Alligator mississippiensis: one gene and its partner. The main gene of each other region encodes a partner of the protein of the gene in region 2 in a complex. Links are inferred from orthologs where the notes say so. Each region holds a gene or a part of one and is shown on either strand. Other genes may lie near its edges.

Region 1 (7,533 bases), on a different chromosome or scaffold from region 2:
ATCTTCACCCTAGCGTTCTTGAGGGTAAAAGACTCAGCTCTTTTATTGAACTGGCTGGGAATTTTCCCTTTTGCAAACTTCAATGTCCACATGAAGGGAAAGAATGACCCCTGATTTGGGCCCCTCAAACCCCCAAATCCCTTGCCTTTTCAGTTCCTCCGACTGAACAAAAGCAAGAAAAAGCCACTTTCTTAAGGGATCTTGTAGGATATTCAGTGAGTTGAAAAAGGTAGAACTTACTCCTAATAGACCTCATGTCTGCATAAGGAAATAGCTATCAGAAAGCTGACGGGGAAAAATTCTTTCCTTATGAGAGGTCTCTAGCCACTTATATTACAATTCACAGGTTAGTTCTAAAGATTAGTGATGGTACTTGCAGAAAAAAAGATATTAAGCTTACATCTCTAGCAATCCTTTGCCCAAAGTATTTCAAAATCTAAGTCGAGTAACTCTTAAAAAAAAAAAGAGAGACTAAACTACTAAATTTGGGTGCTGGACATGCCTTAGGTAGTCCTATCTTGATGTGCTTTTTCTTCTTCTTCCTTCAGATTTTTCTTCTGGCTCCAAAGTAGCAAGAAGTCTCTACTGAAAGAAAAGCAATACAGATGCCCTTATCCAATCATAGTTTACGTGAAGCCTAATCTAGTAACTAGGGTCAGTCTGGCACTTTTATGGTATAGCATGGAAAGGTGTAAAGGATACTGACTAAGCATGCACTGCAACTTTACTCTCGAAGCTGGAATCACTTGCTAGTAGACAGCAGTAACATATTATCAGTGCTTTGAGTGAGGCTACTGAGCATAACTCCTCAAGTCGGTGTTTCTCCCCTGTGGCAGGTTGCCTTCGGCCTTTCTTGAAGGCCAAAGTCAGGTTTAACTACACCCCTGCATCCTTTAGTTAAGTATAACTTGACCTGACCAGGTTACATTCTTCATTGCATATATCCAAACACTGCAGACCCAATGGTGGTAGCATTTAAAACACTGCTATAATTAAACGGATGAGAGGCAAGGCTGTAGCCCATAATATTTAGTAAAACAAAGATCAGTCAAGATGTAGCCCACTAAAATTTGGCAGCATGCACCTCTTCATGTTCATCTTAACACTGGAAATTGTCTAATATATAAATAAGAAACAGAAACCAATCCTAACAAGCATTCCTCAGTTCAGAGTACATTTGTTTAGGAAGTTAAATGAAGGGTTTTTCACACTGCAGAACGTAATGCTCATTTCAATGCTCATTTCAAATGGAACAGTAATTGCCACACAGCTCAGCATTAAAAAACTGCACAGAAGACTCCTTGCTTTTTAAAAAACCAGACAGAAGCAGCAGCTGATTTAAAGCCACCTTCCCATCAGCTGTCCTCTAGTCTTTTGTAAGATGATTTTTTTGAGCCCAAAGATCAAGCTAATGGTTCTGTGTGGTCCAACTGAAGTCATGAGGAGTTTTCAGCTTTTCCTTTGCTGGGGCCCATGAATTCCAGCCCTTCAATGGGGATGTCCTTCTCCTTAATAGCTTTCTAGGAGGAAAAAAGAAGCAAATATTTTATACATCTTTTGCTGTGAAGACTTTCTTGGTGCCTGATGTGATTTAAGACCACTCTGCTCTAGCTCAAGTTGGTATTAAGGCTTCCAAGCTGGACCAAAGAAAGTCTGAGAGTTCCTGCTAAATCAGTACTAAACTGCAGCCTAGACCCTCACTCATCTCTCATCCACACTCCTTCCCGCTACCATCTCAGTAAAAGGGCAAATTCTACTTAGTAAGGGAAAGAAAGCAAGCTGAGGGACTCTCTGAAGAAGTCACAGTGCTGGAAGCAGAAAAAACAAAAACAGACGTGAATGAAGGATTTGTGGAGGACTAGATTTTAGATTTACAGCACCATTGGAGGAATAGAACTCTTTTGCTGAAGGAAAGAAATTAACGAAGTGGTTCTTAACCAAAAGGGAAAAGAGAATGCACATTATGAAGAATGAAAGAATGAAATGTAAGGAAACAGCAAAAGAAGGCACACAAGTGGAAACAATAAATTTTGTAAAATTAAATGTCTAAAAATCCCCAAAGGGACACTCAAAGACTCTCAGTGAACTGTGCGGTCAGCCCCTTCTACCTGCGTTGGAAATCATTAAGGAATGATGGCTCAGGTGTTTGGCCCCTTACAGGGTGTGGGTCCTGCTGATGAGCTGATACTGCAAAATGAGCAAACATGGTCTCACATATATTGAGGAGGTTCTGTAAGAGGTGGTAATGCTTCTTTAGACTAGCTTGGAAAGGTTGCTCCTTTGTGAAGTTTTAGCCTGTCAAAAAGCTTATATGACTCTAAATCCAAATCAGCTCACTATGGGCATTATATAATACAGCCCTACAGGTCATCGTGGCTTCACAGTGAGGTAGTGCTGCAAATAAAAACATCCTACTGAGGTCTGTGCCATGCCGGGCAGCTCCTCATCTGGTGTTTTGTCTCAAGGAAATGAAACACTTGAGAGTTTGTAAAGAAGGAGAAGCGATGCTGGGCTATGGCCAGGTGAGAAACAGACACAAGGGATGTTTTTGAAGAGGAAACATTTGAGAAGACAAGAGGAGCCCGTGCTGCCACCGCAGACGTTACCACGGTGTCAACGAGCGACCCGCCAGCTCTCGCACGGCATTTCTTCTCCCGGCGGCGCCCGGGCCCCGGGGTCCGTCTCCCCGCCAGCACGCCGAGCGCAGGAGCAGCAGCGGGCACAGGCTAAGAGGGTTTAATCATCTCCCCGGCTCGCGGGTGCTAGCAACAGGCCCGGGGCCCCTTCCTCTGCACCGGCCTCGCGCGACGCGACGAGGCTTCCCTACAGGGGAAGGGCGGGAGGCGGGTCTCGCACGCGGGCGCGGCGCCCACCTGCACGCAGAGCTGGTAGCGCTTGAAAAGCTGCACGCAGGGGTCCCCCGCGCTCTCGCCCTTGAGGAACTTCTCAGCGAACCAGCGGTTGAAGCACTGGTCGTACTCGCGCTTCAGCTCCGTGCAGGCCTCGCCCACGCTGTTCATGGCGGAACCTCCGCCGCCTGAGGGGCGGGCCTCGCCGTGACGTACTTCCCGCCCGGCGCGGTTGGATGACGTATTTCCACCGCGCGGCTCCTCTGCCGGGCCGGGATGTGGGCGCTGCGGGGCTGCCGCTGCCTTCGCGCCGCCTGGTCGTGGGGCGGGAGCCGCCTGGCGCGGGGAGCGACCGGCGGCCGGCAGGTGGCTGCCAGCGCCGGGGCTGGTCACGTGCTGTCGTACCCCATGGGCTGGGGGCGGGAGGTTTTGCCTGGGGGGCGCCTGGCGCCGACTTCCTTAGAAGCGAGAGCCCGGCAGGGGCAGCGCTGAGGGCGAGGGCTGAGCCCAGGCCCGGGGTTGTTGATTTCTCGGGCTCCAGCTGCACCGGGCATCCCGGGACTGGGTGCGAGCGCGCGAAGGCTGGCGGGGGCCGCGATCTCCTTGCTCCGTTTCTTGGTCCGATTCGATGCCTTCCACCTTCTCTCAGGGGAATTTCTCCCTCAATGTGGAGTCAATTAAACCTACTGTAAAAATCCCCAGCGGGTGGAGACTCGTCCTTCCCGGGGCCTGTAAGCAGCACGGAGCCATTGGGCAGGAGGCAGCAGTGATTTGCACCTTGTAGATCAGGGCTTGCCAACGTTTTTGGGCAGAGTGCCCCAAACACCCATAAACTCGACCTGAAAGATATTGGTGTGCCAGGGGCAGATAGCGGGGCCCGTGAGGCAGCGCAGCCCTGGCCCCTTCCCTGCCATCCACCCTAAGGCACATGTGCCAAGCAAAATGCTTTTGATTGCTGCACTCTGGCACCTGTGGTGGCAGGCACTGCCTACCCCTTGTTGTAGACTAACAAAAGTGTGCGTGCGCACATATATACTATCTACTTTGGTTAGTCTGTTTTCATCTACCCTGCCTTATATTTATCATGGCCTATCTCTTGCACTTTAGATTGATCAGAATCCAGAATGGCAGCTAGAGGAACAGAAACCGCTTCCTCAGGTATAATGAATCTATCAACATATGTACATTTAGTCCAGGCCAGTCTGTTTCTGCTAAATGATCACTGCAAATCTGAGACCGAGTAATAGAGGAATTCCTAATATCCTCTGGTCAAGACTCAGGATAGTTTATCTAGCTTTATGTTTATTCATTCTGCCTATCCTAACTCATCCCCATATGGTAGTCTTAATACAGGACCTAGACATGTGACTTCTTTTTTTCCCCCTTTCTCAAAGAAAAAAGTAACCATGGAGTTGCTTGATCATCTGGAACGACTGGCACTAGTTGATTTTCGCAATTGGGAGGGCGTAGAGCGGCTGGAGAAAGCAATTCAATTTGCTGATCAACTTCATGAGGTTAACACAGAAGGGATAGAGCCAATGGATTCGGTACTTGAGAACAGGTAAAAAATTATGGTTAGTGACTGTTTTAACTACTAGTTTTCCAAAGAAATGCTGCAGTAAATTTTGATAATTTTTTTGCCACTAATCATGCTAAATATGAAGTTGGCTGGTCCTCCACAAAATCCTTTATTTTAGGTCAGGTGTTTTTTTCTTTTGGGAGGGGTAGAGGAGTGTCTACAGTGTCCCTAAACTTGGAATATAAACACAAGGCTGTACACAGATTTCTTAATGTTCTTATGTAGACCATTCATGTTAGAAATATCCTGTATTACAAATGCAAAATCATTGTAAATCACTCCTGAATGTTCTTGCACCTGGTGTCTGCACCCCGAACAGTTTCAGGGACCGTTTATATAAACAATGCCTTCTCTGTATTAGTTTCTTTAGCAGCTTCAGTTCATCAAGAAACCAGATTTTCTGCATGCTTATATGAAAAAATGTGTTTCACTCAGCTCAATATAGAGTAGGGCTGATAATGTTAAGCACTAGGCCAACTGCTGTATTTATTTCTTCAGAGAACTCAGGACATGGTATTGCTCATTTCAGGAAAGCTCAGTAAGTGGCAACAACACATGTGCCTGGTCAAATGTAAAGCTTGACCTGAACAATGGGACTGGTGGAAGCGTGTTACCCAGCTGCCAGGGATCTCCCAGCAAGACCTAAATTCAAGATGCAACTAGCATATTTTAGTATGACAAGTTTTGAAGGCACTTCCTTCCGATTCTAGAGCATGACTTTGCATCCTGTATCAGACTCTCTAAAGCACAGTTGGCAAAGTAGGTCATTTGGAAAAAGAACATTAAGTTTCCTGTGCTCCCCAGGTGTCTGTATCTCAGAGGAGATAACATCACAGAAGGCAACTGCACCAAGGAGCTGCTACAAAATGCCAGCCAGACAGCAGAAGAATATTTTGAAGCTCCACCAGGTAGAGTTCTGTTACAGATGATGCTAAATGGGACTTGATACCTGCCCTGATTTTTAAGAAGTATTAACCTGTCAGTTAATTCACTTCTGTGTATACTGAATGGTGGTAAACATGTACTGAACTAGGATGATAGCCACAGTCACTTGTTAAGATAGAGAGGGATGGGACCCTAGCTCATTATTACTTAGTGGCACTGCAGAAGTTATGGCTTTATATTTACACCTAATGTTGCTTATGCAGACTCTTTACAAAAGGCAGCTTTTTGTAAACTCAAGTGCAGCTTTTTTGCAGGGGAAAACCTAGTCACTGGTAAGTGTTTAAGCCACAAGGACAAACATGCGAGTTGCAGCAATATTATTCAGGAAACTAGCAGGCTGTCTCATACTCTCATTATCTGTTTCCTATTAGGTAACATCCCTCTACCAAAGTTAGAAGAGCGTGAGAGCTTCCTGCAGGACTCCAACTGAAAAGCTTGGGCCAGAATGCCATACTGGTTCTTTCAGCAGTATGCTGTTGGGGACAATTAATCTTATGTAGCTACAGCTGATGTTACATTATCCCAAGAACAACACCCACACACGAGTACTGATTCTTTCTGCTGCTCCTCTTTACAATATTTTATTTCTATCAAAGGGTTTGTTTGGATTATTTTAAAATATACACATGAAGGTGGAAGGTGTTAAGCCACTTTCAAAATAGAAATATGGCCTCAATACTGTTTGCTTAGTCTGCATTTGGTAGGGCTGAAGTGTCAACCTGGAGAACATCAAACAAGTTCAGTACTCTAGATACATCTGCATATCACAGCCTTGATGACAAGGGAAACTAGGACTATCCAACTTTTCTGTCAAGTTATGAGAGGGGCTGGAGAAGAAGTTAGGTACTGCAGCTTTGTAAGAACCTAATTCACTTAAACTATTTTTTACTTCCTGGCTTAGCTCTGATTAGAGGTCTAATCAGGAAAAGAAACCCTCAAAGTTCAGTACAGTAGAACAGGTACTGTTGAGGGAACTTCTGCTAGATTAAAAAAGCATTTAGAGAAAACGCTATTTTTACCATATGCCTTCATCTCTCTCAGCTCTGACTAGTCTTACATTTGTATATATACTGCTTTCCATGTATAGCTTTGTGGAATGCTATGCTAATATGCCAGATTCCTACATTTACACTTAAGTAAGGCATATAGAGTTTGTTTATACATACAAGTGATTTTTTTTGATGTAAAGTTGAATGCCCTGCCCAGAAAGGCCAGTGGAAAACACTTATTGTGAGAGGCCATTTGACCATCCATATGCATTGATTAAACTGAAGTTCTGGCTGCTTTCTGATCATCGTAACCAGAGATCCTGGTTTTCTCTGATTTAAAAAAAAAATGCAAACCAAAAAACAAACCAACAACCCAATTTTCAGGTTAAAAAAGGAACCCAAAATCCACATTTTTCTGTGATCAAAATGAAACACCACTACATATATATCCATATATTACTGCCGTTTCATTTTGATCACAGTTAAATGTGGATTTTGGGTTACTACTTTAACCTGAAAGTTAGGTTGTTTGGTTTTTTTTTAAATCAGTGAGAACCTGACCATAACACTGTGATGGCCTGGTGTATAATAAAGCAGTAGAGAACTTTGTTCCAAGCAAACACAGTTGTAGTAGTGCTAGTAGTTTGTTTTCAGTGGTAAAATCACTTATAAGGGGAATGAAAGGTGCTATAAGCAGTGCATTTATTTCTCCTGCTGAAACTTTCTAGTGTGACAGAGCCTGCCTTAAATAAATGTGCTACACTTAGACATGCACAATAGCCTTTGTGATGTCAGAACACATTTTAGGAACTGAAGCAGTTCAGCAACCTTAAAAGGTGCAAATAGATGCCATTAGCAGAAAGCTAACAGATGCCTTTGCTGTTCTCAGTAATGTACCTAGTAGAAACTAGACTGGAACCTGACCAGTGTTCTATCCTCAGCAATTTGGGCAAATCACTTTCTCCACCTTGGAAGTGACAGTGATGCTGTCTTGTTTATAAATTGCTTTGAGATGCAAGGAAAGCAGTAGTTGTAGGCCTGCACTGAGTAGTGTGACAGTTAGATGCAATTCTTTTTTCTACCATTTATCTGAAACTGAAGTCAGTAGCTTTTTCTGTACTGTAGTTGAGTTATTTATAAACCAAATTAGATTATTACAAGCATAGAGAAT
Region 2 (6,683 bases):
GGGGAACAGCCTCGTGCCGGGGTGGGCTGGAGCCGTGGCACCCGTTGGCCTGAGCACTGGCAAGACGGGGCCGGTGGCAGAAGGGTGCGGCAGCCTGTCCTGCGCCGGCCCCCCGGGAAGGCGAGAACAGGGTGGGAGTCGCACCTGCTTTGGGAACAGCTGCGGCCCTCTGGCGCAGTCCCTGCACCCGCTCCTGCCCGGGCTCGTCCCTCCCCTCCCCTCCCCTGGACTGGTGCAGCTGGAGCAGGGCCCGGGAGGAGCCCTAGCAGCTGCAGACGAGGGAAATGGAGCTGGGGTTTGCTGCTGCTGCCTCCGGGGCCCTTCCTGTGGCTCCAGGCTCCGGCTGGTGCCCTTGCCCAAGGCCATGCCAGGGTCCTGCTCCGGGGCTCGGCTCTGGGTCACAGGAGGCAGCAAGGGCCGTAAGCTTTAGTCTGGACAGCACCCAGGTGCAAGTGAAGCGTTACCTGCGTCACAGCGGGGCCTAGCTGGGTGGGGCTGGTCCAGGCGGCACAGGCACCTTGGGGACCGATGCAGGCAACACTGGAAGGGGGCCAGCAGGGGGACGGGAGCGGTGACTGCAGGAGGGACCAGGCGCAGCCACCCAGCGCCTCGAGGCACGCGGGGAGGTGGATGCAGCACATAGACACCCGCACCGCTTGGCCTGGGGAGAGCGGCGTGGCCGGCGCGTGCAGCGAGAGGGGGGAATCTGGGGCCACGGCCTTCCTCTCGCCCCGGGCTGCGTGTGATGGGCAGAGGGTGGCCCTGCCAGGTGCTCCCAGAACACGTACTGTAATTCTCTGTACATAGACGAACGATTACTGTAAAGTAAAGTTTAACTTTACTCCCGATGCCCTCTCGTGTGGTTTGTCTTGGGGGCACAAGCAGGTCAGGGGCAGCACCCCCTGCACAGACTGGGGGACGGGGAGGTACGGGCCCCGGTGCAGGGAAGGAGGGACCGGCGCAGTTAGCGGGCACTCGGTCCCCAGCGCCTGTGCACGGCTGCAGCCAGGACCACGGCTGGCAGAGATGTTGGTGCACACTGGGAAGGCTGGGGACAGGTTGCTCCAGCTTCGCCAGGTGGGTGACTTGAGTAGCCTGGATAGGGACCAGGGCTGGCGTGTCTCCTTCCGTCAGGTCAGCCTGCGAGTTAGGCTTCAGCCTGGCAGCAACACGAGCGCGGACCTGGGCCGTGGGGGTCCCAGCTGCCTGCTCCCCGGGGCGCGGTGGGCTGCAACTGACCCCTGGCAGCAGCAGCGCAGGGGGGAGCCCTCGGGCCCAGGCTGCTCCTGGTCCATCGGCTCAGCCTCGTAGGTAGCATGCTCTGGTGGGAGTCTCCCCCAACCTGAGCCCTCCACGGCGAGCAGAGACCTTTCACTCCAGGCACCGCGAGGTTGAGGTGCCGAGTCCCTGCCTCCCCCCAGCGCACAACCCAGAAGGCTGTGAGATTTGGCCAGCCAGGGCGGAGGAAAGGGTTGGTGCACCCTGGGCACGGCCCTGTAGCATGCAGGCCCCTCTGTCCGCAGGTGGGAGCAAAGGGTAAGGGGTGCTTGCAGCAAGCAGGGGTTTCCCACGAGGGAAATCTACCCACCAGCCCTGGGTAGCCGCAGCAGCCTGACGGGTGAGTATACCTTCCCCCCCCACCCCGGGGTGAAGACGGTGCCCCTGGGTGGCCTGGGCTGGGGGCCTCAGGGCTCTGGTTCTCTCCCTGGTGCAGTTGCCCAGGGAAGGGTGCAGGGCTGCTCACAGCAGCAGCCGTCCCCTCCCCCTGCATCGGGATACACCTGCCAGCTTGGCAGGACCTCAGGGTGTCGCAGATGGCTGCTCACGGATGTGGTGGCAGGGCAGAGCGCCAAGCGCCTTCCAGGAACAGGAGCATGCAGGGAGCAGTTCTCCAGTGCCCAAGGGAGAAGGGCTCAAAGAGGCCAGGAGGATGCAGGAGCTGAAGGAGGTGGGTGCAGGTGCAGGGCCAGGGCCAGGGCCAGGGCGGGCCTGAAGCAGTGCTTCCTGCTGCTAAGAGCAGTACAGGCAGGAGTAAGGCTGCCTGCAGGGCTCTCAGCCCGGCCTGTCTGGGACAGCAAGGTCTGGCCCTCTCCTGGGCTCGCACCAGGGGCTTCTCCCCATCCTGCTCCGGGCAGAGGAGCCAGAAGGCCCCTGCCTGCCCCATTCCGCAGCCCCCTGCACTTGCTCCCTGAGGCCTCAGGCCACCGGCCTGGTCCCAGCACAGTGAGCCCAGCGCTGCCATCTCACACACCGCAACGCACTTTATTTACATCTCTATAAGTTAACAGAAGCTGAGACAATCCACGTGGGCCCAGGGTGCAGTTCCAGCCAGCGCAGCCTGTGCCGGGAGGAGCTAGGTGGGGACGCAGCCGCGGAGCAGGCAGCAGCAGGGGACCCACGGCCACAAGGTCCTGCAGCAAGAGCAGAGCTATGTCCCCTCCAGCATCCCAACCATGTCCCTGTCCAGTGCCGGGGCCCCGTCTCTGCAGCCCCACAGCTAAAACCAGGCCAGTGCAAGGAGCAGGGGCTGTGCCGCGGCAGGGGCGTTGCTCTGGCTCAGTGGTGGCAGCAGCTGTAGAAGTAGGGGCTGCTCTTCTGGCTCAGGTCGATGCCTCCTTTCTCCTCTGCAAGAGAAGGAGCAGTGAGGGGGTGGCCCGCCAGCTGTGGCCCACAGCCGATGGGAGCTGCACCCCAGCCCTGCTCCCAAGCAGACACTGTGGGAGCAGAAGGCTCCACGCTGCCACACCAGACCTGTGCCTGCTGAGGAGCAAGAGATGCCTCTCCCGCACTCACCTGTCATCAGCTGGAAGGCAGTGAAGCGCACGTAGTCCTCTGCTACCTTCTGAAACAGCTCATCTGAGACAGGAAAGAGTCAGGCCCGGCCGTGCCCCCCACCCCCTACCAGCCCCAGGGTCCTGGCTGAGGAGGAGCCTGCATCGTGCCCAGGACCTGAGAGATGGGGCAGCACTGAGCCCTTGATCTGCATGGCCGCTCTAGAGGGAAGGGCCCGGCCTGGCTCCAGCTGCGGCTCCACGGAGAAGCGGTCACTCACCCACGCTCTGGCCTGTCTTGCTGGAGGTCTCGAAGAGCTCGGCCTTAATCTCTGAGCAAGATGACAGGTGAGTGCCTGAGAAGCATGGGCCACGGGGCAGGAACCACCACCACCCTCTACCCCCTTCCCAGCTGGCCCGGTGCAACCTCTGGGCCCCTTCTCCCGCTAGCCTAAGCAAACACGCGGCTGGGGGCTCGCCCCCAGGGACCGCCAGCCCCGGAGCCGTTCCTGCTGTGCGGGTGGACATGGGCCCCAGCGGGTGCTGGCCTTCATTTCCACAGGGACCGGGACCGGGAGGGTCCCTGAGCCGCACCTGACCAGCGTGAAGCAGAGATGGGGCCGAAGCCCGAAAGAAGATCCAGGCCCAGTGGGAGCAGGGCAGGGGCTGCGACCGAGACACGACCTACCATCTGCGTAGTCCTGCACGTCGTGGAAGTCGACCCCCCGCCGGCGCCTGTCCTCCTCCAGCAGGTCGCTCTTGGTGCCGCACAGGTAGATGCGGCAGTTCTGGGCCGAGCAGGGAGGGGGGTCAGCCACACGCGGGAGCCCGGGCGCCCGCGCCGCACCCAGATGCCCCCGCGCCGCGCAGCGCCGCACCGGGGCTGCGGCGCGGGGGGAGGGGAATTAGCACCCCCTCGCGGGTACCCGGGGCACGGCCGGCACTTGAGGAACCTGCACCCGAGGAAACGGCTCCTCGCCGCGCGGGAAGTCCCTCGGCGGCTCCCGAAGGGGAAGTGTCCCCCCCGCCCCCGCTCACCTCCTCGAAGGTCTGCAGCTCGTTCACCCAGAACTTGGCGCGCTCGAAACTGCTGCCGTCCGTGAGATCTGCCGGAGCCGAGAGTCGGACGCTGCCCGCCGCGGACCGGGGCCCGCCCGGCCGAGGAGCCCCCGCAGGGGGGGCGGGGAGGGCCCGGCCGCCCCGGCCCCCTTACCGTAGCACACGATGGCCGCCCGGGCCCCGCGGTAGTAGATGCGGCTCATGGCCTCGTAGCGCTCGGAGCCCGCCGTGTCCTGCGGGCGGGGGCAGGGTCAGGGTCAGGGTCGGGGCCAGGGTCAGCTCCGCGCCCCCGCCCCCCCGGCCGGCCCCACTCACCCAGATGCCCAGCGTCACGGCCCGGTCCCCCACGGCGATGACCTTGGCCACGAAGGCGGCGCCGATGGTCTGCAAGAGGAGGGAGAGGGAGAGGGAGGGGGAGGGGAAGCACCGGGGTCGGGGGGGCGGGGGCGCGGGCCGGCACTCACGTTCTGGTAGGGCCCCACGAGGAAGCGCTGGTGAACGTAGCGCTCCACCAGGCTGGTCTTGCCCACGTACTCCTTGCCCAGCAGCACCACCTTGGCGTCCACGCGCGGGCCGCTCATGCTGCTGCCGCCGGGCCGGGGCCGGGCCGGGAGCGGGACCCGCTCAGCCGCGCCGCATGGCCCCGCCGGCTCGGCTCGGGCCAGGACTCCGGAAGCACGTGACGCCGAAGCGGAAGTGGGGCAGGGGCAGGGCGGAAGCAGGCCGAGCGGGAGCGGAAGTGGTGCTCGGCCCTTCCGGTCACGAGGACTGGCGGCCCCGGAAGTTGCCGCAGGGACGCTGTCGTCGCATGGCGGGCGCTGCGCGGCCGGGGCGGGGGCGGACGCGGACGTGGGGTGCGGGAGCGGCGGGCCCGGCCTGAGGCGGCGCCATGGGCAAGCACTGCGCCAGCACGGGCGTGCTCAAGGGGCCCTGGGACCAAGTCTTCGCCGCCTTCTGGCAACGCTACCCGAACCCCTACAGGTGCGGCCGGGCCGGGGCCGGGGCGGGAGCGCCGCTCCTTGGGGCGCTGGGCTGGGCCGGGTCGGGTCGGGCCCCCCTCCCTGATGCCCCCCCCTGCCCCCGCAGCAAGCACGTGCTGACCGAGGACATCGTGCACCGCGAGGTGACGCCGGACCAGAAGCTGCTCTCCCGGCGGCTCCTGACCAAGACCAACAGGATGCCGCGCTGGGCCGAGCGCTTCTTCCCCGCCAACGTGGCGCACTCGGTGTACATCCTGGAGGACTCCATCGTGGACCCCCAGAACCAGACCATGACCACCTTCACCCGGAACATCAACCACGCGCGCCTGATGGTGGGCGGCCGGGCCGGGCCGGGGGTGTCTGCCTGGGCAAGGAAGGGCTCCCGGGACGCGGCTGGAGCTGCGGGCAGGGCTCATGTCACACCGTCCTCTCCCTGGCAGGTGGTGGAGGAGCGCTGCGTTTACCGCGTGAACCCAGAGAACAGCGGCTGGACGGAGGTGCAGCGGGAAGCCTGGATTTCCTCCAGCCTTTTCGGCATCTCCCGGGCCGTCCAGGTCAGTGTTCGTTCCCAGGGTCCCCATGCGCGGCAGGGACGTGGCCCCCCGGGAGCCCGGCGTGCCGCCCAGACAGCCCTGGTGGGACGGGGGCAGCAAGCACTTGGAAGCTGATGCGCTGCTGGGACCGCTGGGTCTGAGCTGCAGCCTCACAGCGTCTCCTGTTGCAGGAGTTCGGCCTGGCCCGGTTCAAGAGCAACGTGACCAAGAGCACCAAGGGCTTCGAGTACGCGCTGGCTAGGATCCAAGGTGCGTGCGTGCGGGCGGGCGGGCGGGGCTGTTACCGGCTGGGTGTGTGGATTGCTGCCTGCCGCAGCACCAGCTCTGCCGGCCCGGGCGGTGGAACCTGCGCTGTCAGGGCAGGGAGTTTGCCCCGGGAGGGCTGAGTGAGGGGAAGCTGTCCCTGCCCTCCAGGGGCGGAGGCGCCCAGACGATTACAGGTCAGTGACTCATTGCAGGGGAAGCTCCATCCAAAACGCTGGTGGAGACCGCAAAGCAGGCAACGGAGAAGGCCAAGGAGACGGCCTTAGCAGCTACAGAGAAAGCTAAGGACCTGGCCAGCAAGGCAGCCACCAAGAAGCAGCAGTACATGTGAGCTCAGCTCCACCTGTTTCTCCCCCCAGACAGGACCTCCGTAGATTTTATATTTTTTAATCAATGTTGTACAAGTCTGACAATCAGTGATGGAGAACGCCTTCCTGAGATGTAATTATCATTAAACATTCGACTCCCTGAGGCTTGTTTTGGCTGGGCCTGGCTGGCAGTGCAGGTCCATGTGTCACCCAGGGCCAGGGTTAGACACCACCAGCAGGCTAGGGAGGGCGTAGGCTGCTGGAAGCAGGAGGCCAAGTCCCAATCCCGGGGATGAGGGCTGGGGCTGTGACAGCAGGTGCAGCTCTCCAGGAGATGCTGGCTTTGGCCCCCCTGTTCCTGTTGCATTCAGCAATGTCCTGGCAGCAGAGGGAGGCGCTCAGGTGCCTACAGCCCCTGCTGGCGCTCGGCCCTGTGCGAGCAGAGGCGGCCTGACAGGGTGTGGGGCATCGCTGCTGCCTGCCTGCTTGCGGGGCAGCATTTTCTGAAGCGGTTCCAGTTCCTGCCACCCAGAGCAAGAGCCCCCACCTTCTTCCCTCCCCTCAGTGCACCTGTGGCTGTCAGAGCATGCAGTTCGGTCCCAGCAGCTGGCAGCGGTTGAAAGCAGGGGCAGGCTCCTCCCGCCGCATGCCTGGGTGGCGGGGTGTATGCAGGGGGTGCCCACGCTGCTCCAGGGGATGCGGCTGATGGGTCTTCAGGGCTCCTCCCGGGCCCATGGGCTCAGCAGG

The links. Proteins that work in one complex are often made in the same cells at the same time.
Region 1: the proteins of PRELID1 (region 2) and TRIAP1 are in contact, whole or in part, in a crystal structure (PDB 6I3V), measured with the Homo sapiens proteins. The link is inferred for Alligator mississippiensis from reciprocal best matches to the Homo sapiens genes PRELID1 and TRIAP1. Residues at the interface, in NP_037369.1 of Homo sapiens: Trp15, Asp16, Phe19, Ala20, Trp23, Gln24, Tyr26, Pro27, Val34, Leu35, Thr36, Glu37, Asp38, Ile39, Val40, His41, Arg42, Val44, Gln48, Lys49, Leu50, Leu51, Ser52, Arg53, Leu55, Thr57, Tyr79, Leu81, Asp83, Ser84; in NP_057483.1 of Homo sapiens: Met1, Asn2, Ser3, Val4, Lys12, Tyr15, Asp16, Phe19, Asn20, Trp22, Phe23, Phe27, Leu28, Gly30, Asp31, Ser32, Phe41, Tyr44, Gln45, Val48, Gln49, Ile52, Ile57, Pro58, Ile59, Leu62, Glu63, Phe64, Met65, Gly66.

What each region holds. Positions count from the first base shown.
Region 1 is NC_081833.1:20,955,049-20,962,581, reverse strand, and holds the start of TRIAP1 (TP53-regulated inhibitor of apoptosis 1), read right to left. Parts: upstream 3,067-7,533; 5' UTR 3,021-3,066; coding exon 2,874-3,020; intron 1,521-2,873; coding exon 1,437-1,520; 3' UTR 1-1,436. Other genes in the region: GATC (glutamyl-tRNA(Gln) amidotransferase subunit C, mitochondrial), read left to right, coding at 3,126-3,215, 3,957-4,007, 4,244-4,410, 5,233-5,336, 5,745-5,803. UniProt on the Homo sapiens protein: Involved in the modulation of the mitochondrial apoptotic pathway by ensuring the accumulation of cardiolipin (CL) in mitochondrial membranes.
Region 2 is NC_081832.1:79,381,206-79,387,888, forward strand, and holds PRELID1 (PRELI domain-containing protein 1, mitochondrial), read left to right. Parts: upstream 1-4,643; 5' UTR 4,644-4,719; coding exon 4,720-4,811; intron 4,812-4,916; coding exon 4,917-5,142; intron 5,143-5,250; coding exon 5,251-5,364; intron 5,365-5,534; coding exon 5,535-5,613; intron 5,614-5,822; coding exon 5,823-5,959; 3' UTR 5,960-6,099; downstream 6,100-6,683. Other genes in the region: RAB24 (ras-related protein Rab-24), read right to left, coding at 2,557-2,624, 2,794-2,856, 3,053-3,103, 3,460-3,559, 3,810-3,877, 3,985-4,063, 4,146-4,214, 4,295-4,411. UniProt on the Homo sapiens protein: Involved in the modulation of the mitochondrial apoptotic pathway by ensuring the accumulation of cardiolipin (CL) in mitochondrial membranes.